Linked DNA regions of Tribolium castaneum. The protein of the gene in region 3 purifies or fractionates together with the protein of the main gene of each other region. This does not show direct contact. Links are inferred from orthologs where the notes say so. Each region holds a gene or a part of one and is shown on either strand. Other genes may lie near its edges.

Region 1 (6,130 bases), on a different chromosome or scaffold from region 3:
AAGGCTTAGTTAGCTAGACTTTAAGGTCATGGTTAGCCTTCCGCGCAAACATGTAATTAATAATGACAACACGTTTCAAAAAATTTGTGTAAAAAATTATTTTAATTTATTCCCACTCTCGTGTGGTGTTCGATAACTAGTTTTTGACCATTTTTTTGAATATTTAATAAATAATATTTAATAATTTAATATAAGTACGACAAATTTAACACTTATAATGATCGCTTTGTTAGAACCTGGTAGTTTTGTTTCACAGACGTAAATTTAAAAAATCTCTAATTCAAAAAAAAAAAACATACAGACTAAAAACTACAGATACTAACAATCTGCTAGGTTAATAATAGTCATTTACTAAGTGAAATATTGTAAATGCTTGGTAAAATAATCTAAATGCAAAGTGATAATTTTCTTTTAATGAGATTTTCTAAGAAATAATAATAGTAATTACTCCTAATAAAACATATACCTCCCTAAGTATCTAACATCCACTTGCTAAGGTAGATATTTGCTATGCTAGTCAAACAATTTTTGATGTAAAAATTTGATTAAAAACCTCTCTAAAAAATAAAAAGTAGTAGCCCCTCTTCTAATTAATAAAAAAAATTGATTTTTTTTTCTTAAATACTATAAATTATCTTCAGTTGAACTTATGTTTTCACACAGCGTTTATATTTATTTTTTACCTAACAATTACTATTTTCACCCAGCATTTAATTTATTCCAAAAAATTACTGGTAGCAGATGTTAAGTAAACCATATGAAAATGAATGATTTTCTGGCTTTCATAATCGTCAAAAAATAATCAATTGAAAGAGTACTTAAAATAATATTACTAAAGATTATATAAATTTAACAATGTGAGCTCCTATACAGACATGTGCGGACAGATATTTTGTCGGTTATTTATCCGCAATAATATTGTTCGGACAAATGTGCAGACGGCTAACCACGGCCAAAATATAAAAATAAGAAAAACTTACGTCAGATAATTGCTCGTCTGCCGCCCCCTGTGCCCTCATCCCCATAATAATCGTGTCAACACGTTGTTTCTTATCGATAATTCTCTTATGAACCAACCTTTCGTGATTTTTTCTAGTCATAATATTAAATAAAGTTTTATAACACAATTCTAGAGTCATTCGCACGATTTGGTCCAAGTTTGTATAAAACAAAGTGAAGCTTTTATTAGGACCATTACTGGTCGATTTTTTCAAATCCTGGACTTGCAAAAAATTCTCTTCCAGGAGCTGATAAGAGAGCCGTTTTGCTTCTTTAGCCGGAATCATTGCCAGTTGTTGAATCTGATCCGGTTCTATGTATTGTTTCGACTTAACAAGACGGAAAATCCGGGCGGCTTTAGTATCGAATTTTTCCAAAACTATCTGTTCCACAGTCTCCCATGCAAATTGAGTGAACGTCTCTTTCAGAAAAATTTGAAAAGAACCGCCACCTGCCTCTCCCGACTGTCTAATTAATTTAGAACTGTCTTGCTCTAAAAAAAAATATTTGGACTGGCAACAACTTTGACTAACGACTAATGACTAACCCAAGACATTAACGTATTGGTCAAAAAACGCCAAAAGGTGTTGATGAGTGGCTTGTTTCCTTACAAGGTCCCGAATTTCAACAATAGGGACTGGATTCGAGACCTCAGCCCAAGGCTGTGTCCTAATGTACATTTGTTGTAGCAAAAGTCTGACAAATTCACCCGCGTTTTCGTCAAACTTTTTAATAAAAGCATTCACAATTAATTTGTCTCTCATGTCTTGATGAAACCTATCGAAGTTAACAGTCCAGTAAACGCCCTGGTCAGGGAGAGAATCCACTGGTGCTTTATTGCTCTGAACTAAGGCAATTTGTTTAAAATCAATTGTCGGAGGTGCAAACTGTTCCGTCTCTTTTATCACTAAACTAGGAACAGGTTTATCTTCCATACTATACGGCAACCGTATCAAATATTGCGCGGCCAACAATGAAAAAAATTTTTCTCTTAAAGCTAAAATTGTCACGTTTTTGTTATGATCTTTTTTCAGTCTCTCAATCACTTTCAGGATTAATTCAGACGCCGTCCAGTAGCTCCGCTGTAGCAATTCTTCCATAATTAATTCACACTCAGTCCCAAATTTCTTTTTAATTAAATTAATGTATTTGGCGTAGCGCAACATTAATAAAACACGCTCATGTTGCAGTGTATAATTTGCAACGTTTTCATTGCGATTGGGGGTGAACGTGACCAATCTGTACTTTATTAAAATACATAAAGCTTCCTTGACCTACAATTAATAAAATAAGGGGCAAAAAGTGCACAGTTTCATTTAAAATACCTTAGATATGGGCAAATCTGTGTGCTTTTTGATGTACAGAAGGGGCACAGTTCCGTACTGAAACAAGTAAGTGCCCACCTTCTCGACCACGGGGCCGAAACGTTCGAGTAAAATAAGGGAAACTACCCTTCCGTATTGAATCGACATCGGGATCAAATAAAAAATATTGCAATGTGATTACTTAGAAAAAATTAGGTTAGGCTGCTTGTCAAAATGTAGAAATACAGGTTTCTTTGTTACCGGGAAAATAATCAGTGGTCCGTGGGTTTTAATTTAATTTAATTAGGAACTAATTTATTGTTTCTTAGTGCAAAGCAACCTAATTCGAATTACTTTAAGTTGGAATTAAAAGTTTCATTTGCTTCGTCTAGGCCATACACTTGTTATATATTTGGTTGCATAAGCAGTTTTTGAATCCTGAATAATAAACTTTTTTTATTGTTAAATATGCAAACGCTTGCCTAAATACATTTTTAAATCGGCAATCGAATTGATTTATTGTTAAAAAACCTGCCACAAGTCCATTAACTGATGTAAATTATTGGCAATAAATAATCCTAATTACATACAGGCATCGGGCCTTCAATTCAGTTTTGAAATTTTTCAATAATAATTTTGTAATTGAGTCTCGTGAAAAATTCATTAGGCATAGGCGCTAAGAAGGTGTAACCTCCATATGCAATTTTTAAATTGTTTACAAATAAGTTTATTAAAAATTTATAAGCAGAAGGTGATGATGAGGTGCGATTTATAGAAACAGATGCGTCGTCGGCTTGTGGGTTTACGAATCCATATTTATGAGATTGTTCATAATTCAATTAATTACAAATTATTCATATAATTTATGTCGTTTTGACTTTACCATTGTGCAACTCCGATGATGGTTTACTTATAAATTGTACTTGCAACTCGACTTTACTACTTTATTAAAAAAAACACGTGGACTTGTAGGTGGCTTAAATCACGACTACTCAAAACACAAATCCGCTTATTAAAAAATAAAGTAAATAAAATTTGAATAAACAAATTTAAGGTCACACATGTGAATAATTGCACAAAATGTTGGCTCCGCCACACCCTCAAATCGTTACTACAAAAAAGTCATAAACAAATGACATCAATTCAATTAGTAAATCAATATAAAAGTAGCAAGTCACGTAAAATAATCCAGAAAAAAATTTAATATCAAGTTTTTTAACCCAGTCATATACAGCAGGTCCATAAATTATTGCCTAAGTAGATGTGACAGGAAGGGGAGCTAGACGGCTTGGTAACAAAAACTGCACGCATGACAAATGATACCGGTCGATTTAAACCGAATTCCTTCATGCCATGAATAAACCGGCAGTGATTCTCAAAACCCACCACAAAAGAAGATTTAACATATTTTAACTCATTAAAAAAATATGAAACTGTGGTGGCTCCTAAACCTGAATATTTTACCCAAAGTAGCCTAAGACTTGAAATTAAGTTGGCAACGTTGACACGAAATTGAAGAGCCCAATGTTGCCAATTTAATTCGATCGTCGTAGGCCACTTGATGACAATGGCATTCTGATATGATCTGCGCCGCCCCCAAACTTAATTTAAATGTTTATTGAAGCATAAGTCGCCTGAAGAAAATATCATCGATCGCCTCGGAAGCTGCAGCAGCCTATGGAAAAGCTTACCTACTCCCACTCTCTTTTTGTGCTTTATCCTCCCGTGTATTCGATAGCGAAAGCGTGCTGTAGAAACAACTGAACATCGCTCACACAGCGTGTCTAGTCGCCGGTGGATTGTGATGTTCTAAATTTTCTCGTCTCGCCGTCTAGATCCTGTCAGAAATTTTAAAATTTCGACGTTTCATGTGACAGTGACAGCATCTAATGAATTAAAGTCACAGTGAATTTTATTTTACGAGCAAAAAATAATGAAATAACTAGAGTCGGTCTAAAGTGTCGTCTACCTGTACGAGGGGTAAGTGGGATTTTCTCTACTTAAATTATTTACCTAGAAGTCTAATGCCTGGCGAGTGGTTTTAATTAAATTTATAGTCCTGCATTTCTAAAAACCATAAAGATATAAAAGTGTCCTCGGTGAGTTATTGCTTGATAAAGACACTTTAATGAGTTGAAAAGTTAAGTAATATTTAAAATAAATTACTTTAATGTCTGTCATTAAACAATTTTCATTCCTCAAATTTCTGGTGCATTTTTCTGTACAAGTTAATTATGTTGTTCAAACCATACCGGTTACGTGTAGGGGAAATAGTAATTAAGCTCTCCAACCCCTTGACATCACGCCCTCGTCTGTATTGTCTAGACCTGAAGTTATTAGAACTAGTTGTTAACAAACCAAAAATATCTTCAAATCACGATAAACTGTCTTTTTCTTAAAAAAAACCTTATCTTTTTGGAATTAACTGATACCAATGTTTGCCCAAAAATATGGCTAAACAATCAAATGCCAGTTCCCTAAGTAAGGACTACATTTACTTTTAAACCAACATTTGCATACTGTAATTATAATAATTTAAATAATAATGATTAATCTGTCTATTAACTGGAGATTAAACTGTCTGGGCTTGTTTATTTATCTCCTGACACCTTTGAAATTAATGTATTGTTACATAATTAATTTGTTTAACAAGGAAAAATAGTCATTATTTTTTCTTTATAGTCGGATTATATGTTCTGTTGCTTTAATTAAACGAACAAATTGTATAATAATCGGCGAGAAATGAAGTTGTGTATAAACTTTTACAATGGCAATTGCTGATAAAATGTTTGAATGCAATTTCAGATAAATATTTGATTCTAACACACCTATTTCATAATATCTGATAATTGATAAACTACTGTTTCCGTTTTTGAAAAAAATAAATTCCTGAGAACTGAACAAATAATTGATTTTGAAAAGAGCGACCCCTATTCAGGCAAATACTAATTAGTCATAAGTGTAGGTAATATCTTATTTTTCGCAAAATTCTCGAGAAAAAATGTTTGTAAATAAAATGCGAAACGTGAGTGTTGTAGTGTTTTAAAATAAGCAAAACGTGCCCAAAAACATATTGTTTAAAGATTTAAAAACGAAAAGTACGTAAACATTTTTCTAAATTGTACTTAGATCTACGTTTGATTTTTAAAATGCTGTATACGGGGAATCAGAATTTTCAAAGAAAATCTTGAAATTTGCAATCCTTATCAATTATTAATTTAGTAATGTGGGCGTGCGTTTCGTCATTTCATTGTAGTTCAGTTAACTACGAAATAACTTGAGTGGAAAATTTCAATGTGTAATTTTGGCCGCTTTCGCACAAATTTGACCATAAACGAATTTATTGTAAGTATATGGATGCAGTTTACGTTTGTTTACTTTATTAATCTTTTATTGCCTCCGAGACAAGATAAAAACTAACATTCCGTAGTTAAAATAAATACTAGTTCACTTGTTTTTTAATCTTATCAAACAGCTCATTTAAGAAATATTTGATTAATAGTAATAGAACCGTGTCTACTTTTTTAGCTTGTGTCGTTTGTTGATGGTAAAATCTTTGTTTGTTTACTTAAATCGGTTCACTACACTATTCGGAACAGTCTAACATCTGTCACACAATTACTACTTCACGCCGTAAAACCACCACAATCAAGTCGAAGAAATGACGCTATTGTGTTACACAGCTACTTTATAAAGGCACAACAAGCACTGCTATTTGATAATTGACCAGTGCAAAAATTGTAAACCGACTTGAGATGAGTCAGATCGTCTTAAATTCAAATTCGATGCTAAACAGTCTTTGTTTGGCGTGAAATGTCATTTCAATA
Region 2 (6,121 bases), on a different chromosome or scaffold from region 3:
CAAGAGGGGGAAGGAAAATCAAAGAGAAAATTGACGACATTTTTTTTAAAACTAGCAGGGTACGCAACAGAAAAGTTTAAAGAATTTTTAAACTGATTATTAGAATATTAGAAAATGCTAATTAGTACATCGTCAATTAGTACTTTAAAAAAGTGATCATTTTTTGAAAATATTTTTTTTAGTTTTACTGCGGCGATTTTTTGGTAAAAGATTATACTCTAAAAATTACTTCTAATTCAATAATATTGTTTTTGAAGCAGTGTTTTTTTTAAATAAAATATTAAAGTTGCGTTCCAAGTTCATTACTACGATTTTTGGAATTTGTATCTATAGATGTTTTTTATTAGAGTAATTTGATTAGTAAAATTTTTCGCAAATAAAAATTATTTTGTGGTAATTACAAATTAAAAAAATAATGATTTGTTAAAGTGCAATGCTCATTAGGTGACTATAATAAAATAAATAAAAATAAATCATTAAAACTGTTCTAGCGTTCTAAAGTGTTTTTTTTTTTATTTTTTCAAACACAATAGCAATGCCAATTAATTGTGAACACCATCAGTAATTGAACTTTTCTTTGTCATTCTTAATAAGTTATTAATTTTATCACCAACGAGCTTAGGAAATGTAATAGACAAAACTTTTTATTTAAAAGAATACTCATTTTTCCCATGTTCCGTTCAAATAAGCTTTGTTAGGAGGTTGCACAATGAGTGATAGTAAAAAGAATTATACAATTCACACAGTATACTCGTACATGTTACTTCTCAATGTTCTCATGTTCTCACAGAATTCATGTTTTTTTACAATAGATATACTTATTTCGTCTTTTGATATGTAAAGTAAAAATAACTGCTAAAAATAGTTATTAATAATACGAGTGCGAAAACACAAGCTTAAAGTTCGAGGGCTGTCGTTATGCAACGAGCGTATGCGAGAACCCGGAACTTTAAGCGTTTTCGCATAAGTATTATTAAGTTTTTTTTGTTGGAACATTTTACTTTAAAACACGTTGCTATGAGAAGCGAGTTTTAAAATAGTGAAAACATTAATTTAAAACACGTTACTATGGGAAGCGTCTTTTAAAATAGTGAAAACACGCTGCTATGGGAAACGTGTTTTAAAATAGTGTTTTTCTATTTCGGTTTCGTACTGAGGTCACTTTCATTACGATACGCGATTTGCGTATCGTAATATCCAACGGAGTTCTATAATAATTACACTAAAACCAGGGTAATTTATTTGGATAATGTTTACAACCTAGTTTTCTGACAATCATTTGTTTCAAATGTATATTTTAATCAAATAAATCAAATATGAACCTTTAGAGGCTCTTGTACCATACATGATTCAGTGCAAGTAAGTAATTTGAGATCTCATATACTAATATAGTCTAGGATTCAGATATTAAAAAAGGCTTAAAATTTTACCAACAAAAAACATTTTTTTAATTTACCACTTATAGAAAACTTTGTATATAATGAACTGATTTTGATGCATTTTCTGAATATGTTATAACTTACAGCCGGATTCCACTGTATTTTATTTGCTATTTTAGATTGTTCAGTAAGTTTTTATAGGCAACCAATCATACGATTTTTCGAACGGAGGCTTCTTTCGTAACAAAACACGGTGGCAAAGTTTCTTTTCTAAATCTGACGTCCCTTAAGTAGCATATCACCTAAAAATGATTTTTTTTATTAATTTTAATTTTTTATTAATGACAATAAATTTCATGGCAATGTAAAAGTATACTAATTTCACATTACATTATTTGGATTTTTATCAGTACTTACAATTTCAAAGTACCCATAAAAAATTATGTAAAGTATTTGTGAAATCTGGTCTTTAAAACACACACTATATAAGTATATAGTATAAGACTAGTATATATAGTATAAAACTATAGTATATTAAAGTTAATATACTATTAAAATTTTGAAATTTTTAATAGTTTTTGCAATCGTGTTTTAATGCAACCGAAAAAAACTCAGTTCGAAAAACCGTATAATTGGTTGCCTGTACACCCAACTCTCTACACCACATAACCTACATGTTTAACTTCACATTTTCAACATGTAAACAAATAGTTATTAAGCGTAACAGTGATAAACTAATTAATAAGTTGCAACAAAAAGCGCTGAAATGGATTTTGACGATCCCGCCCTTCTCAAAAAACCAATCAAAGAAATCGAAGTAATTCAAGTTTCAAATTACAAAACCTAAAAGGTATTCAAAAATCATTTTTAGGAAAAATGGAAACTAGTGCCCGCCTTTTTAAAAGTCAAAGGATTAGTAAAGCAACACATTGATTCGTTCAATTACTTCATCAACGTTGATATTAAGAAAATCGTGGAAGCCAACAACAAACTAGTTTGTGATGCCGATCCTTTATTCTACGTCAAGTAAATTATAAGGCGCTTTATAAGTTTGGTTTTATCTTAATTTCGTAGATATACAAATGTTTATGTTGGACGACCGGACGTTGACGAAGGCTTCAACATTAGCAAACCTACAACCCCTCATGAATGTAGGCTGAGGGACATGACGTACTCAGCCCCCATTTCCGTAGATATTGAGTACACTAGAGGCACTCAGCGGGTATCCAAAGCTGGTTTAATGATTGGCAGGTAATTTATTAGAAAAATAAAAAAAAATATTGTAAAAACACCAATAATTTTTTTAAATAACAATTTAGAATGCCAATTATGCTCCGTTCCTCCAACTGCGTCCTCACCAACAAATCCGAGTACGAATTGGCAAAAATGAACGAATGTCCTTTAGACCCCGGCGGCTATTTCGTCGTCAAAGGCCAAGAAAAAGTGATCTTAATCCAAGAACAGCTCTCCAAAAATCGAATGATAGTTGAAGAGTCCAAATTTGGGGTCCAATGCGCTGTCACCAGCTCCACACATGAGAAGAAGTCGCGAACCAACGTCGTATGCAAGGCCAACAAGTACTACCTAGGACATAACTCCCTAACTGACGTAATTATTTTGTGCATTCATCGTCAAATTCCCAACAAATTTTTGCAGTTAGTCCCTGTTTCAATCATCTTCAAAGCTTTGGATGTGACAAGTGATAAAGAAATCTGCGAATTGATCGGAGTTGAGGATATTTCTAAACTCACTCCAACGTTAGAGGAGTGCCACACTTTAAAAATTTACACTCAGCTGGGGGCACTTAAACACATAGGTTCGAAATTAGTAGCTAAACGTTACGTGACGTCTGCTAGCAAAATGAAAACGCCAGTTGATGAAGCGAGGGACGTTTTGGCGACCACTGTTCTAGCCCACGTGCCTGTGGAAAACTACAATTTCAGGATGAAGGCCATTTATTTGGGAGTGATGGTCAAAAGGTAAATAAAAAAGTCAGATCATAATCACCGGGTGACAAAAAATTGAAATTTTAATTTGGCAACCCTGAGTATAAAATTCTCTTGTCAATTGTCTGAGTGTTGCCAATTTCAAGGTACAATATTTAACAATTTTTTGTAAAAAAGGGTGATTGAGGCACAGTCGGACAAGAAATTCATGGATGACAAAGACTACTACGGCAACAAGCGTCTCGAATTGGCCGGCTCTCTCCTTTCTCTTATGTTCGAGGACGTTTTCAAACGCTTTAACTGGGAACTAAAATCCATCGCTGAAAAAACCATCCCAAAAATCCGAGCGACTCAATTCGACGTTGTCAAGTATATGCGCTCGGATCTGATCACCAATTGTCTGGTCTACGCAATTTCGACGGTAGCCAATCACAAATCGCCGCGATTCGGCTTCTGATTGGTCGGTTTCAGGGCAATTGGACCATCAAGCGATTCCGAATGGAGCGTTTGGGTGTGACTCAGGTTTTGTCACGGTTGAGCTACATTTCCGCTTTGGGGATGATGACCAGAGTTAATTCGCAGTTTGAGAAAACGAGGAAGGTTTCAGGACCCAGGTCTCTGCAGCCGAGTCAGTGGGGAATGCTGTGTCCGAGCGATACACCCGAAGGAGAGGTATATAGTAAATTTTGTTTGCTTTTTTATACATAATATTACGGAGCAAATTAAATTCTCTGACTCTTTTTTGTCTTACGCCATTTAGTTCTGTTTTTATCATTGATTGTCTAGCAATAGCGTTCGCACGTTTTTAAATTGTGCTCGTTGCTCGCAAAATGCAAACACTTCAGTTAAAACCATACAACAAAAATTGATAGAATAAAGTAGCTGTTTGGTGATTTTTTTATTCGATCGGTGAAAAAATTAAAAAAAAAATTCTCGATGTACTTATAGGGAAAAACGTTCTATTATACACGTAAAGAAAAGTTGGCATTATCTGCTCGTAATTCCTTTCAGAAACCCATCACTCACAGATAATGAACAGCTTTTCTTTACTTGTATAATAAACGACTATTTTTTAACGATTACCAATCTGGTCAGCTGGAATAAGTATTATTGGTTGCATATTTATAGAAATTCAGAATAACTCACTATTGATTCACCCTGTATAGAAGTCTAACTTTACTAATAATTAAGCTACAGAAGACGGGAGCTGAGCAGGGTTATCCTGTATGAATGATTTGTATAAAATTTCCTTTTTTTTTGTTAATACGACTTCTTTACCTTGTCAGGCTCTGTTGAGCAGAGTTTAAAACATCGAACGCAAGCCAATGCTGTAGTTAATATAGTTATTAATAATACGAGAGCAAAAGCTTAAGCTTAAAGTTCTAGAGCTGTCGTTATGCAACGAGCTTATGCGAGTGTAATTTAACTTTTTTTGTTGGAATATTTTAATTTAAAACACGTTGCTGTGGGAAGCCTTTTTTGCTAAAAATTAAGATAGGCAATATCTATAGTCAAAAATTTTATTTACCAAAAAAAAATTCATAACTCGAAAACTAAAAGTCGTAGAGCAATGCGGTTTGTTCCATTGAATTCAGCGGCTTATTTTGCGTATAAAACCATCTTTTAACAAGATGTAAACTTTTAAAGTTTTTTGCTAAAAATTAAGATAGGCAATATCTATGGTGAAAAATTTTATTTACAAAAAAAAAAAAATAATTCATAACTCGAAAACTAAAAGTCGTAGAGCAATGCGGTTTGTTCCATTGAATTCAGCGGCTGATTTTGCGTATAAAACCATCTTTTAACAAGATGTAAAGTTTTAAAGTTTTTTGCTAAAAATTAAGATAGGTAATATCTATAGCGAAAAATTTTATTTACCAAAAAAATTCATAACTCGAAAACTAAAAGTCGTAGAGCAATGCGGTTTGTTCCATTAAATTCAGCGGTTCATTTTGCGTATAAAACCACCTTTTAACAAGATGTAAACTTTTAAAGTTTTTTGCTAAAAATTAAGATAGGCAATATCTATAGTGAAAAATTTTATTTACAAAAAAAATAATTCATAACTCGAAAACTAAAAGTCGTAGTGCAATGCGGTTTGTTCCATTGAATTCAGGGGCTCATTTTGCGTCTAAAACCATCTTTTAACAAGATGTAAACTTTTAAAGTTTTTTGCTAAAAATTCCGGTTATCCTCGATTTTTCCGTTTCTCGATAACTCTAATAGTTTCGCCGTAATTGGCGGTTGAAAATTGAAAAAAAGTGAAAATGGAAAGTGAAAAGTCGTAGAGCAATGCGTTTTGTTCCATTGAATTCACCGGCTCATTCTGCGTATAAAACCATCTTTTAACAAGATGTAAACTTTTATAATCTAGGATTCAGATATTAAAAAGAAGGCTTCAAATGTTCCATAACCGCCAAGTGTTAATTCCAGGCGTGCGGATTGGTGAAAAACCTGGCCTTGATGACCCACATCACCACCGATGTGGACGAATACCCCCTCATCCGATTGGCTAACAACGCTGGAGTTGTTGACATTAACATGTCCTCAGGCATGTCCATCCACTCCCCTGAAACGTTTTTTGTTTTCTTGAACGGTAACATCCTCGGAACGATTCGCAACTACAAGAAACTGATCCACACATTCCGGATGTTGCGACGCTCAGGCCTCATTTCCGGTTACGTTTCCATCTACCCCAACTTTTTGCATCGCTGTATTTACATTAGTTCGGACGGAGGGCGCTTGTGCCGACCGTACATCATAGTCGAGCGCGGACGCCCTCTGGTCACGCAAAAC
Region 3 (5,940 bases):
GAAAATAAAATCCGTGCACAGTAACACTGAAATTTAAAAAAATCGCCTCATTTTATTAAAAACAAATCATATTTTACTATATTATCAGAAGCTATAAAGTGTGTTTTCACCCGTAGTTGAAGGACAAAGATAAAGGTGACATTTTCAAGGCTAACAAATCTTTCATTTCTCAGAATTTTGTTAGTTCGATAACTTTTTTAAAGTTTCCATTATTCAATTGAGAAGAAACTGCTCTTTTTAAAAATATTAAATTTGACCCTTGTCAAAAAAAATTAAGTAAGTTTTGTATCTCCAAAAAAATGGAGATAGAAATTTGAGACGATAGAATTTAAATACTTTAAATACCTGTATAAATAGCTATTAAGTGAAAACTGTGGTAACGAATTACCAATGAAGGAACTTAATACAAACAAGTAATTTTAATTTGGTAATTAGGGCAATAATATCAATAGATGGAGCCACATTAAACCTACCTTTGTATTGGCCACCTCTCATAAAAGCCCATTCTTCCTCACAAACCTCGATTTGTTCCTTAGTCGAATCATCATTTAAAGCCATGACTTCGATGCCGTTTCGAACCAACCATTTATTCAAATCGCTTATTTCATTATTATGGCACACAACAATAGTTTTAAAAAGATGACTCTTGTCTCTTAATAATCCTTCAATGTAGTGTTTCTTGTTTTGTGACACTAAAAACTTTACTTCGAATTGGATGTTCCCATATAGAGCTGCTTCCAAATAATTCCCTATGCAAACAAGTGGTGTTACATAAATCGATTTGAGTAATTTTTGCAAATCCGATGTCCATTTTGTTGAAGCTACTATGAATTGGACTTTGGTGCTACACATCCTGTGTTCAAGCATTTCATCAGTGACTTCCAAAATTTTGTAAATTTCTTCGTGATTGTTTTTTAGTAAACAACTCGCGTCTTCTAACACCAAGTGACACATTCGTTTCAAATTAAAAGTCCGAGATTTAAGGCAATGTGTAAGAGTGCTGGGGATTGTAATCACGATATCAACGCTGTTCTGAAAATAACAAATGACTAAAAAATAGTCAAGCGCGATCATTTGAATTTATAAAAAGAGTAGGTGTTTTTTTCTTTGTGATTGTTAAGCTGGTGCAAACTGAAGGAAAAATCTATTTTAACTGAGTATTACCGTTCGAAACAGTATTATTACTTGACTCTTCGGCTTGATTAATTATGATAATCGGCGTTTTCATATAAGTTAAAAAACTAATAAGCCCACTCTGGTTATAAATTCTAATGATCTCATGATATGTTTCCCTTCACACGATTGGTCGCATTCGTGTTATTGCCATGGTTATCTGCTGTAACTATGGTTACAAGAGAATTTGTCAGTGGAAACCAACAGATGGCCCCACACAATGCGACCAGCTACGTGAAGGGCAAGCTGTGTGACTTACAATGTGGTGGACTGGATATGTCATGAGGGCAATTTTTGGTTTAGTGGCACTATTTTCAAACAGTTTTTTCATCAAATCGTATACATCTTCACAATGTTTGCTGTTTGGACAAATAATAACCACTAACGGGCCCTTGTACTTTGATAATTGTCGATATTTTTCCTCTTCAGCTGTACTGAAGGTACAAAGGGCCGGGAGATACGACATGGTTTTCCCCGACTTAGGCCCCCCTACCATAACAACATTCAATTGTCTGAAAATTGCGGGCCAGACGAATGATTGGATTGGTAAACTATACTTGTAGTTAAGGCGACCCAAAGCAGCTTGAATTTCGTCGCTAAAGTAGGTGTCTGTTAGCAACTTTACAGGCTGGGGGATCACCTCCCTGAAATTATTTTTCAATAATTTTAATTGGTCTAAAGTGGCGCAAAGTACCCGTGAACTAGGGTCTTCAAGTAGCTTTGTTTCTCAATTTTTGTCAATGTGCCAGGATTGAAAGTGAAGATCTTAGGGGTTTTCCCTGGATGTCGTGCCGATCGTAACAAGGGTTGAATCTTCCGCTCTTTGCAAACACGTTTGTGGTGCCCCTCGAACTCCAAATCCGGCGTTGTCCAGTCGGCGCTTTGGGTCCAATGGACGCAGTTCTGGCACTCACACGCCGGTTTCATGAACATCTCTGGATTGTCGATTTCGGGCTCAAAAGTCTGCTTTGGGGCTCCATCACTATCGGAGTGTTTTTGCTCGTCGCTGTCGAAAGGGTCTTTCTCCCTGGTGGCCATTGCGACTGAAAGGCCTTAAGTAGGGCAAAAACGTGTGCAAATTCACAAAAACACACCACAACAAAACACAACAAAAATTATTTAATTCTAGGGACTTCCAAATTTGAATGATGCAACCTGTTGCAAATATGAATAGTCTCCAAAAAGTAATTTTCGGAATTTCGGCTTTAAAACAATTACTGAAACAGTTGCATAACTAATCCCACGGTAAATTGTTACCAAATTCGGGTTTCTTATTGTAATAACTTTGCGAAATTAATTTTAAAAACTCTGGAAAATACGTTAGTTTATTTGGGTTTATAGATTGGTACCACTATTCCATGTGTTTTCGGCGCGTCCTGTGCAACACAACCTCAAAATTTCACGAAGCTGTTAACAAGTTTAACAATTGTTAAACGATGTTTATAGTGGCTGAAATGAAAAATGTGACCCGAATACCCCCCGAACTGTTCAACTTGAAACTAAACGACGCCATAGCCGGAGAATTAAACAAAAAACTAGCAAACAAGGTGAGATTAGAAGCACATTTCAGCCCCTTTTAACCCCCAGTTTAAGGTAGTCCTCAACGTTGGTTTGTGTATAGCTTTATACGACATTACCAGTCTCCAAGAATCGTTTATATTTCCCGGTGATGGGGCTTCACACACTAGAGTCAGCTTCAGGTACATCGTTTTTCGCCCCTTTATTGAGGAGATTCTCGTGGGGAAAATCAGGAGTTGCAGTCAGGAAGGGGTTCACGGTACGACAATTATATTGTGAAATGTTAAATATGATTGCGAATTTTAGTGACTCTTGGTTTCTTTGACGATATTTTGATCCCTCCCAGTGCCCTTCAGCACCCTTCAAAGTTTAACGAAACTGAACAAGCATGGGTGTGGGAGTATGACACAGGAGACGGGTGCAAACATGACCTTTTCATGGATGCTGGTGAAACGATCAAATTTCGCGTAACTGCGGAGTTTTTTAATGAGACTTGCCCCACTGGTAGTTTACAAGAAACACAAGACAAGTCCGAAAATAAAGTGCCGTATAGTTTAACTGTAAGAAAAAAACTTGGGTTTGTATGACTTGATTAAAATTATTTGTTTGTCACAGGGGAGCATAAATGAGCCAGGTTTGGGATTGTTGTCTTGGTGGGATAATTAAGGTAATTAATTTTATGGAAGGGATATAAAGTATGAACGTGTGTAAAATATCATTCTGATTTACTTGCGAAACATATTCTCATTATTTACACCACATTAACTAAATTAAAACTAGGGAAAAGTCGAATCAAACACGAGACAAGGTGACGAACGATACCGAATTAAACCGTAAAATCACAGCTTTCTTGATCAGTAACACATTGTGTGGCGCCATCTGTTGTTATTTTTCTGTCAATTTGTGATTGGTCAAGAAAGCCGTGTGTAAAATAATCGAGTGTTATTGCACAATCTAGTATCAAATATAACAAGTGGACAAGTGGTTCACTTATTCTATAACGAGGCAACGCGGAAGATGTTCTCTCAAATAATCGAAAAGTTCTTTTGATGCCCCTGGACAATTTGTTAATTCTAATTCTCTCATATGTCGTAACTGAATCAGACTTGATAAACCACTAGAAGTCAATAATGGACACCCTGAAATTTCGAATTCAGTTATTTATGTCATTATTTGTGGTATGTGGCAGACCTGCTAACGATAGTATTTGCAAATTTCTCATTCCGCATAAATGCTGAAGTCCAAAGTCTCGAATTTGTGAACACCAGCGCAGATAGAGTGCAGATAGAGACAACATTGTTGAAATGTAACCAATGCCAATGTCGGTGATGTGAACACATCTGTGAAATAAAGCGAATAAAGCGGATTGCGTTTTGATCAGTGGCCACCAGTTATTGCAACTTTAAAAAATACATTAAACACAATGCAAGTGTTTCTGCTAAAAGTATTTTTTACTATATCTCAAAAACTAATAATCGCATAGGAATCACGGTGTGTTGCTTTATATTTAATGTTTTTTTCCACACAAGTGAATTTTTTCAGAATTTTTTACCCTCCCTTATAGAGTTATTTATAAAAATATTAAGATCAGTATTAATAGTAATTAATACTAGTAATTAATATCAGTAATATCAGTAAAAATAAACATAAACTAATGGAAATTTTATTATTTATAGTGTTATCCTGAAACAAGGTTTTGGACAAAAAATTGATAATAAGCTTAATCTACCACCGCAGCATGTATTTAAATATTTTTTAATTAAAAATTAAAAAATAAAAAATTGGGAAAAATTACTTTTAGGATTTTTTGCACAAAATAACATCTTAAAATGCTTAAGAAATAATTAATTAATACAGATTGGAGTTTTATGAGGTTAAAACTTACTTTAATTAGGAAGCAAAAAATATTGGAAAAACAGAAATTACGTGTTAAAATCTGGTATTTTCCGATATATTTTTTTAATTCCTACATCAGGAATAATAAAAACATATTTTTTATTGTAAAACATTCTATTACAAAAACAAACAAAACGAAATATCTTTTGTAAAAAATTTTCTTGTTGAAAAAAATTGTTATTTATTGTATAAGGGTCTTAGATGTATTTTATCTCCGTAAAGATTTAAACTCGAGAAGTAAATTCGAGCGTTTAATTAAGGGGATAAAAAAAGAAGTTAATTAATCGTTTAACTTAAATATTGTTTTAAATTTGCTGGTGTAAAATTGGTTCGTTTTCTGTAAGAATTTCTTTCAACCAAAAAATGAACTCACTGTATCTATTTTTTATAAAAAAAAATTACACTACTTTAAACATTACAACATTAAAAAGTAATTTAGTCTGCAACTAGCATTTTTCCCTAGAAAGTAGAAGATACTGAAAATGAGAAACACTAATAATTGAAACACACAGTCTAAAATAAAAAATCAATATACTCGTATTAAGAGACTGAAATGCTAAAATGCTTACAAGCTGAATTAAAAAAATAAAAAAATAGTGAAATTGAATTCTATACACGGTGATTCAAAAGTACCGTACAATTTCTTGGGTGCTGAATTAAAAGTTCCTATGACAAAAAATTGTTTGAACCCTCTTTCACGAGATTTAGGTCTTCAAACTTAAATTTTTAAGTTAATTTTTGTTTCATATCATACTTTTTGACTTTCGTTAGCGAGCTCTTGCAACATTAAACAAATACAAATTAAAAAAAACAACAATTAATGTATAATGATGTGCAAAACAATTAAAAACTTGTAATTTCAACAATAAATTAAATTCAATAACCTAGAAAACAAAAGAGCAATAATCGATACCGTTGCTAAGGAAAACAAATTAAAAAATATATACTCTTTCAAATTAAATGATATCTCATCAGGCTGTGGAAATTTGAATTTAAGTTGGTTATACAGTTATTTTTAGTGTTTCATATATTTAATTAATTTGAAATATAAGGAATTGTAGAAATTTTTTTAAAAAATTCACAGGCACAGGGAGAAATATAAAGTGTTGAATAGCAAACGCTGAATTTTGTGTGGTTCTTAGTTTTAGAGATATAGAGATATACTTTTAATAAATGAATTTTTAGCTTAAAGTAAGGTAATTTTTGTCGTAATTATCTAGTTTTGCGTTGTGTTTAAATGAAATTGTGGCTTATAATTTGTTTGGTTACCGATCGAGTGTAAGCTCTTCTAATTGGTTGAGATCGCACGCGATATACTCCAAGGCAGCATCGGTGATTCGAGGACACCACGAC
Region 4 (5,430 bases), on a different chromosome or scaffold from region 3:
ACAATAGAATGAAGTCGGTCAAGATTACGAGATATGTGTTGTCGCACGCTATACTTGGATCTAAACAAGGTTACAGCTGAAAAACTGAAAGTAACTGATGTAACAATATCTGTTTTATTTATTATAATTTATAATAAATTAAAACCAAAGAAATGAAAAATGCTTTCGCAAATTATTTAGCATGAATACTAACACAAATATTTTTTAAAAGGTAAACAAATGTTTTCAGAAAGCTTTTAAATATTACCGAATGATTCGATTTGTTGTTCTCTCGATTTCAGGTAATCATTGAAAATTAGCTTCATTTTGTCAAATTTGGTCGACCAATTAACAATAAATTATTGTACACATTTTAACTAGATAGGTATTTTTTATTCCGTGAAAATGGTATTAAAATAATACGCCTTTTTAACTTAACAATTACGAGCAATATGCAATATACAAAATACTAAATTTTGTATTTTGCAATTTTTATACGCAAATAAAGACTCAACAAAATGTAACGTTAAAGAGAAAGAATTAAAGTTATACCTGCAGTTTAACAAGCTTATATTCTGTTAAAACAGTGGCATGCAAATATTTTTGTTAAAACTTCACACGCAAATTACTCTTACGATTCAGTTGCTAAAAATATTCTATTAATCCACGCTTACGGAGGGCAATAACTTAGGAGACGAACGAGATACGAAATCACAGGACTTTTCCGGTACAAATTGAAACCCAATTCACTAATTACTTGGAAAAAGTGTTAAAATGTTGAGCTTTGCAGACTGAGAAAAACTGACGACTAAAATTTTCATGAAAAACGTGAGAAGAAAATTATTTAAGATTTTTGCGATTCATCCCGTATTTTTCAAAACGCTGCGAATACGGTTAAAGATACAAGAAAAATATGAGAAAGAAAGATGGAAAAAATTTTCTTTTAGAAAAGTCTGCGAGACCGTATCTCTATCATCAACGGTTTAAGCGTCAAAGACGTTCAAAGGTGCTTAAGCGTTGGATTTCTTTCATTTTACCTTTTACTGGTGGTCAACTAACAAAGTTAATTTATACCAAAATTGTAAAAGATAGAAATACAGTGTCGCGGTTTTTTTTTGTATAAAATTTAATTCTTTACAACTTTCTTCCTAATATTTTTCTTGTACTGTAACTGTATTCGCAAAGTTTTGAAAAATATAGGGCAGAGTGCAAATTAATATAAATTTGAATTTTTTTAAACATAGTTTACAATAAAATTTTTGCATCATTTTTATCTCTTATAATTGAGAATTGAATGCTCTATCTGCCTGTATTTCATTTCTTTGCCTTGTGCTAATTATATACAAAGACAACAATTTTTTAAATTCACTGCTCTGAAAACTTGAAGGTGAAACAACTGCGCTCTCTGGCGTCATTAAAAAACACCATCAAGAACGAGAACGTTTTGTTTGTACGTCGTTTCGCATCCTAAGCTTTAGATATCCGTATCCACGCTCCAAGCACCGTCAGTAAGTTACCAAAAGAAAACTTACTCCTCTAGAAGTTTCTTTTGCGTCTTAAGTAAAAACAATCGTCGAAAGCAAGTAAAGAATGATAAAAATCGTAATAAAGCCTATTATTAAATATATTGCATCCATAAAAATAAATAGCTGTGGCTCACTTATCAGGAAAATCACTACAACATAATGCAGCTCAATATAATATGAGTGGACGTCGTACAATCTCGTATTTCCCTTTTAGTGGTGTAACGACCGATATAAAGGCAGTACAACAGCGCATTAAAATGCAAATTTCAAATAGAGGAAACGCGATAAATCCAATGCGGGTCGTAATTTAATGTTTATACTCACAGTCTGCTCGATGGTTCCACTGCTGCTTCGTCACCCTCGATACGGTAAACTTTTCCTGACATGACATACTCAAAGCTGTCGGCACGCGAACCTTCTGTTTCTAAGCCCTGAGGATTCCAATCGCCACTATCGGGATAACCATCCTCTCGCAGAGTTGTTGCCAAAACCAATCGGAATTTGTCACCTATAAAAAATCCAAGAGTCAAATCAAATAAGAGAATTGAATCCGTCGAAGCGAGAAATATAATATTCAATAAAAATAAAACGCCCCGAGCAAAGGTTTCCTATCGATCATTGTTAAAAGTGACAATAAACAATTTTTATAAAATTCCTTGGTCCGTCCATTTTACTCAATAATCAAGTTCGATTTGTTGACGCCAATCTTCCAACAAATCACAAATAAATTGTCAATATCAACTGAAGTTGAAAAACGTTTTTGAATTTTTCCGACGGCTGTTCAGCCTGAATTTATTTATACCTAACTGCGAGGGAAAACCCTAATGTTCAATTTCATGAACTAAATTACCAGAAGAGAGCTCTGTTAATAATTCCGCTACTCCGGAAAATAACGCTGGCTTGAAATTGAGTTTATTTTGAGGCTGCTCCCGGAAAAACAAGCGGCGAACCTTCTCTCTCTCACACACTAAATATTAATTTTAAATTAAAATGTTTTCAAACAAAGCGAAATCACCTGAAAATCATAAACTGCAGAAGTGAGTCTGCAAGAATGATAATTTAACAAAAGGAAATTCTAAATTTCGGTTCCTTTTGTACAGAAACTAGCAGATTACAATTTAATGCAACAGATAATACGTGGGAAAAATTGGAAACTCAAAACACCACTACAATAATAATAATAATAATGTTTTCTAAATAAGCTTATAAAAGTTATTCTATTTGCATGGTCAATAAATAATAACAGAAGCATTTCCTCACAATTCATCGATTCATACTGGGTGAATTATTTATGGGTTATTTCCAACATGTCGTTATACAGGGTGAGTCAATAGTGGGTTATTTCTGAATTTCTATAAATATGCAACCAATAGTAGCGATTCCAGCTGACCAGATCGGTAATCGTTACAAAAATTAAATTTAATCCAAGTTTACATTGTTCTGGGTAGTGTCAAGTTTGTCTTGACAGTTTTGCTAAGGTTTCATTATAGATTATTATTATTTAAAAGATAAAAAACCAGTGTTGATTCAATTAATGTTTTTAAAAGTCAAATGAAGCTCCAAGTGGTCAGTGCAATTAGTATTTTTGGTTGCATCATAGGACATGTCAGAAGTCACCCACTATTGACTCACCCTGTAGACGCAACAAAAAATACTAATTAGTATTTACACTTATTATATGGATACTGCGTTTGATTTTTAAAACGTCCATTAAAACATTGTTTTTTGATCTTTTAAATAATAAAACCGTTAAGACAAACTAGGCAAAACTAAGAGCAATGTAATTGTGAAATAACTTTTTGGACTATTACCGATCTGGACAGCTGAAATCGGTATTATTCTAGTATTATTAGTTGCATATAAAAAAAAATGATTTCGGCCTATGTAGGACTTTACCACAATGTATGTATGTAGAAAATATGCAAGAAAATACATAACAATATAAGTAAATAACTAAATAACAGTGGAAGATAATGTTAAAAGTAAAAAAATAAATTTATATTTCTTTTTACTTAAAAGTATACAAATATCTATAGATAAGCCAAATCGTCGTAGTTTTAACATAAAGGTATGTTAACATAAAGAGGTTTTAAAGAAAGGTCTTTAAAACCTCTTTGAAATAACAACCTAAACTACAATTAATTGTTCCTTTTACTCACACTCACAAAGTATATTGCGTTAAAATACTGTTAATTAATATTTAAAAAAAAGACAACAAAGTTTAATCAATACGATATTGATTTATGGTTGATAAAAAGTTTTTAAAACTTTTGAACAGTTTGCAGTACCTAACTTTTACTTATTTTTCACCTAAGTCCCTGATAAAGTTGACTAGATTTTTTTTTGCTACAACATGTATTTTTTAGAAATCATTTCAACAAAAAAGCAATCCCTTATTCATACATTTGTGTGTAGCTTCTTGCACTACGTTTACAAACCATGACATTCAGAAGAGTCTCAAGGATAACTCACTCTATAAATACCCAGAGTTGTCACCTTTCGGCTTATTCAAACTGAAAATTGATTTTGTTTTCCTAAATATTAGATAAATAAAATTAATAAATTAACAACTTTCAAAAGTCGGTATATTCGTTAATTGGTTCTAAATATTTAATAAACTAAGTTCTTTGACACTGGAAATAAATGATGTAACAAGATTCTATTCAGTGACGTTTCCTTTATTATTTAATACTCGTATATTTAGAATTAATGTTACATGAGAAAGATGTTATATCGAACGTATTTAATTGTTTACGTGTTTGATAGCATCCTACGCAAAAAAAGTTAAAATAGTGATAGACTATACACTACTCGTTTTAAACAATTACTCATGCATTTTCCAAGAATTAGGATCCACACATTTATTTAGGGTTTAATGAACTAATTTGATGCCCTAATGAGGCATTTTATCCATAACAGTATAAAAACATGAATCCATCAAACAAGGAGTACAAAGACTTGTACTTCAATGTAAACGGTGCTTTATTATTGAATCCTAACTGCATACACACGAGTTATTCTTAGACTTGAGAAAATAAATCAGAAAATTACCTGTAAGTACGTCTTTCAAGACTTCTTTTAAATTAAATGGATCATTAATCTAACGATAATTGCACACTGTATTATTGTTGGTCATCTGTAGGCTTAAAACCTGCAGAAAACCTAACGAGCAAGTTCCACAATTTATGAACTAAACACCTACGTGAACACTTATTATAATGTAGGTAAATACATGAGAATTCCGCATTGTATTAGTAACGGCAATAAAAAGAAAAGCAATTTTCAAAAAACGATCTTATTGATTTCCAATTACAATATTCGATCAACAGTAGAACGAAGCTTTCGTTCAGGAAAATCATCCGCTACGCGTTATTTTATTATCTGCGAAGATTATTGAACATTCTTTGTTTTATCCCAGCAATTTGTCTTGAATAAAATTTACGATCCTGAAACGCGCAAATTAATCCGCGAGAACAGATCTACACTTGAGATAACAAGAGATAAAGAAAATATTTTAGGAGCGGAAACAATGACGTAACAACAACAATAATACCTTAATTATTGTCATAAATGTGTGATCAGTGATCACATTGCATCCAAAATTTCCAATCATGTGATCAAACAACGCAAACACGTCACCTTAACATATTCCCACCGTTCTGTTTAATCCATTGAGCAGGAAAATTACAGAAACAACCACTACTGATCCCGATGTTGCCTAAATGCCACACCACACGATAAACAATGACGCGAACATAACGAAAACATAAACAATCGTGTCAGCTTGATACGCACCGTGCGTATTTTAATCGAACGACCTTGCCAACAAGACTCATTAAAACCGAATCCGTGAAAATTATGAAACTTGTCCTTCGGATTTCGTGAATTCGAACGTATCCGAGAGAAAATCGAACCTCGTTTGTTG

What was found.
Region 1: the proteins of Polr3H (region 3) and Polr3C purify together in Homo sapiens (affinity purification with mass spectrometry; 5 studies listed by BioGRID and IntAct, with this or other methods). This does not show direct contact. The link is inferred for Tribolium castaneum from reciprocal best matches to the Homo sapiens genes POLR3H and POLR3C.
Region 2: the proteins of Polr3H (region 3) and Polr3B purify together in Homo sapiens (affinity purification with mass spectrometry; 8 studies listed by BioGRID and IntAct, with this or other methods). This does not show direct contact. The link is inferred for Tribolium castaneum from reciprocal best matches to the Homo sapiens genes POLR3H and POLR3B.
Region 4: the proteins of Polr3H (region 3) and Polr2H purify together in Homo sapiens (affinity purification with mass spectrometry; 5 studies listed by BioGRID and IntAct, with this or other methods). This does not show direct contact. The link is inferred for Tribolium castaneum from reciprocal best matches to the Homo sapiens genes POLR3H and POLR2H.

Annotation. Positions count from the first base shown.
Region 1 is NC_087402.1:6,495,637-6,501,766, reverse strand, and holds the start of Polr3C (DNA-directed RNA polymerase III subunit RPC3), read right to left. Parts: upstream 3,707-6,130; 5' UTR 2,472-3,706; coding exon 2,325-2,471; intron 2,274-2,324; coding exon 1,547-2,273; intron 1,493-1,546; coding exon 981-1,492; intron 1-980. UniProt on the Homo sapiens protein: DNA-dependent RNA polymerase catalyzes the transcription of DNA into RNA using the four ribonucleoside triphosphates as substrates.
Region 2 is NC_087398.1:9,957,131-9,963,251, reverse strand, and holds the start of Polr3B (DNA-directed RNA polymerase III subunit RPC2), read left to right. Parts: upstream 1-2,002; 5' UTR 2,003-2,145; coding exon 2,146-2,196; intron 2,197-2,250; coding exon 2,251-2,405; intron 2,406-2,453; coding exon 2,454-2,630; intron 2,631-2,698; coding exon 2,699-2,987; intron 2,988-3,035; coding exon 3,036-3,358; intron 3,359-3,502; coding exon 3,503-3,746; intron 3,747-3,796; coding exon 3,797-3,997; intron 3,998-5,758; coding exon 5,759-6,121. UniProt on the Homo sapiens protein: Catalytic core component of RNA polymerase III (Pol III), a DNA-dependent RNA polymerase which synthesizes small non-coding RNAs using the four ribonucleoside triphosphates as substrates.
Region 3 is NC_087394.1:25,643,160-25,649,099, forward strand, and holds the start of Polr3H (DNA-directed RNA polymerase III subunit RPC8), read left to right. Parts: upstream 1-2,515; 5' UTR 2,516-2,609; coding exon 2,610-2,720; intron 2,721-2,766; coding exon 2,767-2,950; intron 2,951-2,997; coding exon 2,998-3,251; intron 3,252-3,306; coding exon 3,307-3,357; 3' UTR 3,358-3,358; intron 3,359-3,399; exon of another isoform or gene 3,400-3,681; coding exon of another isoform or gene 3,682-3,830; intron 3,831-3,882; coding exon of another isoform or gene 3,883-4,031; intron 4,032-5,856; coding exon of another isoform or gene 5,857-5,940. Other genes in the region: putative ATP-dependent RNA helicase TDRD12, read right to left, coding at 1-26, 474-1,032, 1,433-1,817, 1,868-2,211; F-box/LRR-repeat protein 16, read right to left, coding at 3,682-3,830, 3,883-4,031, 5,857-5,940.
Region 4 is NC_087396.1:10,296,468-10,301,897, forward strand, and holds part of Polr2H (DNA-directed RNA polymerases I, II, and III subunit RPABC3), read right to left. Parts: intron 2,014-5,430; coding exon 1,830-2,013; intron 1-1,829. UniProt on the Homo sapiens protein: DNA-dependent RNA polymerase catalyzes the transcription of DNA into RNA using the four ribonucleoside triphosphates as substrates.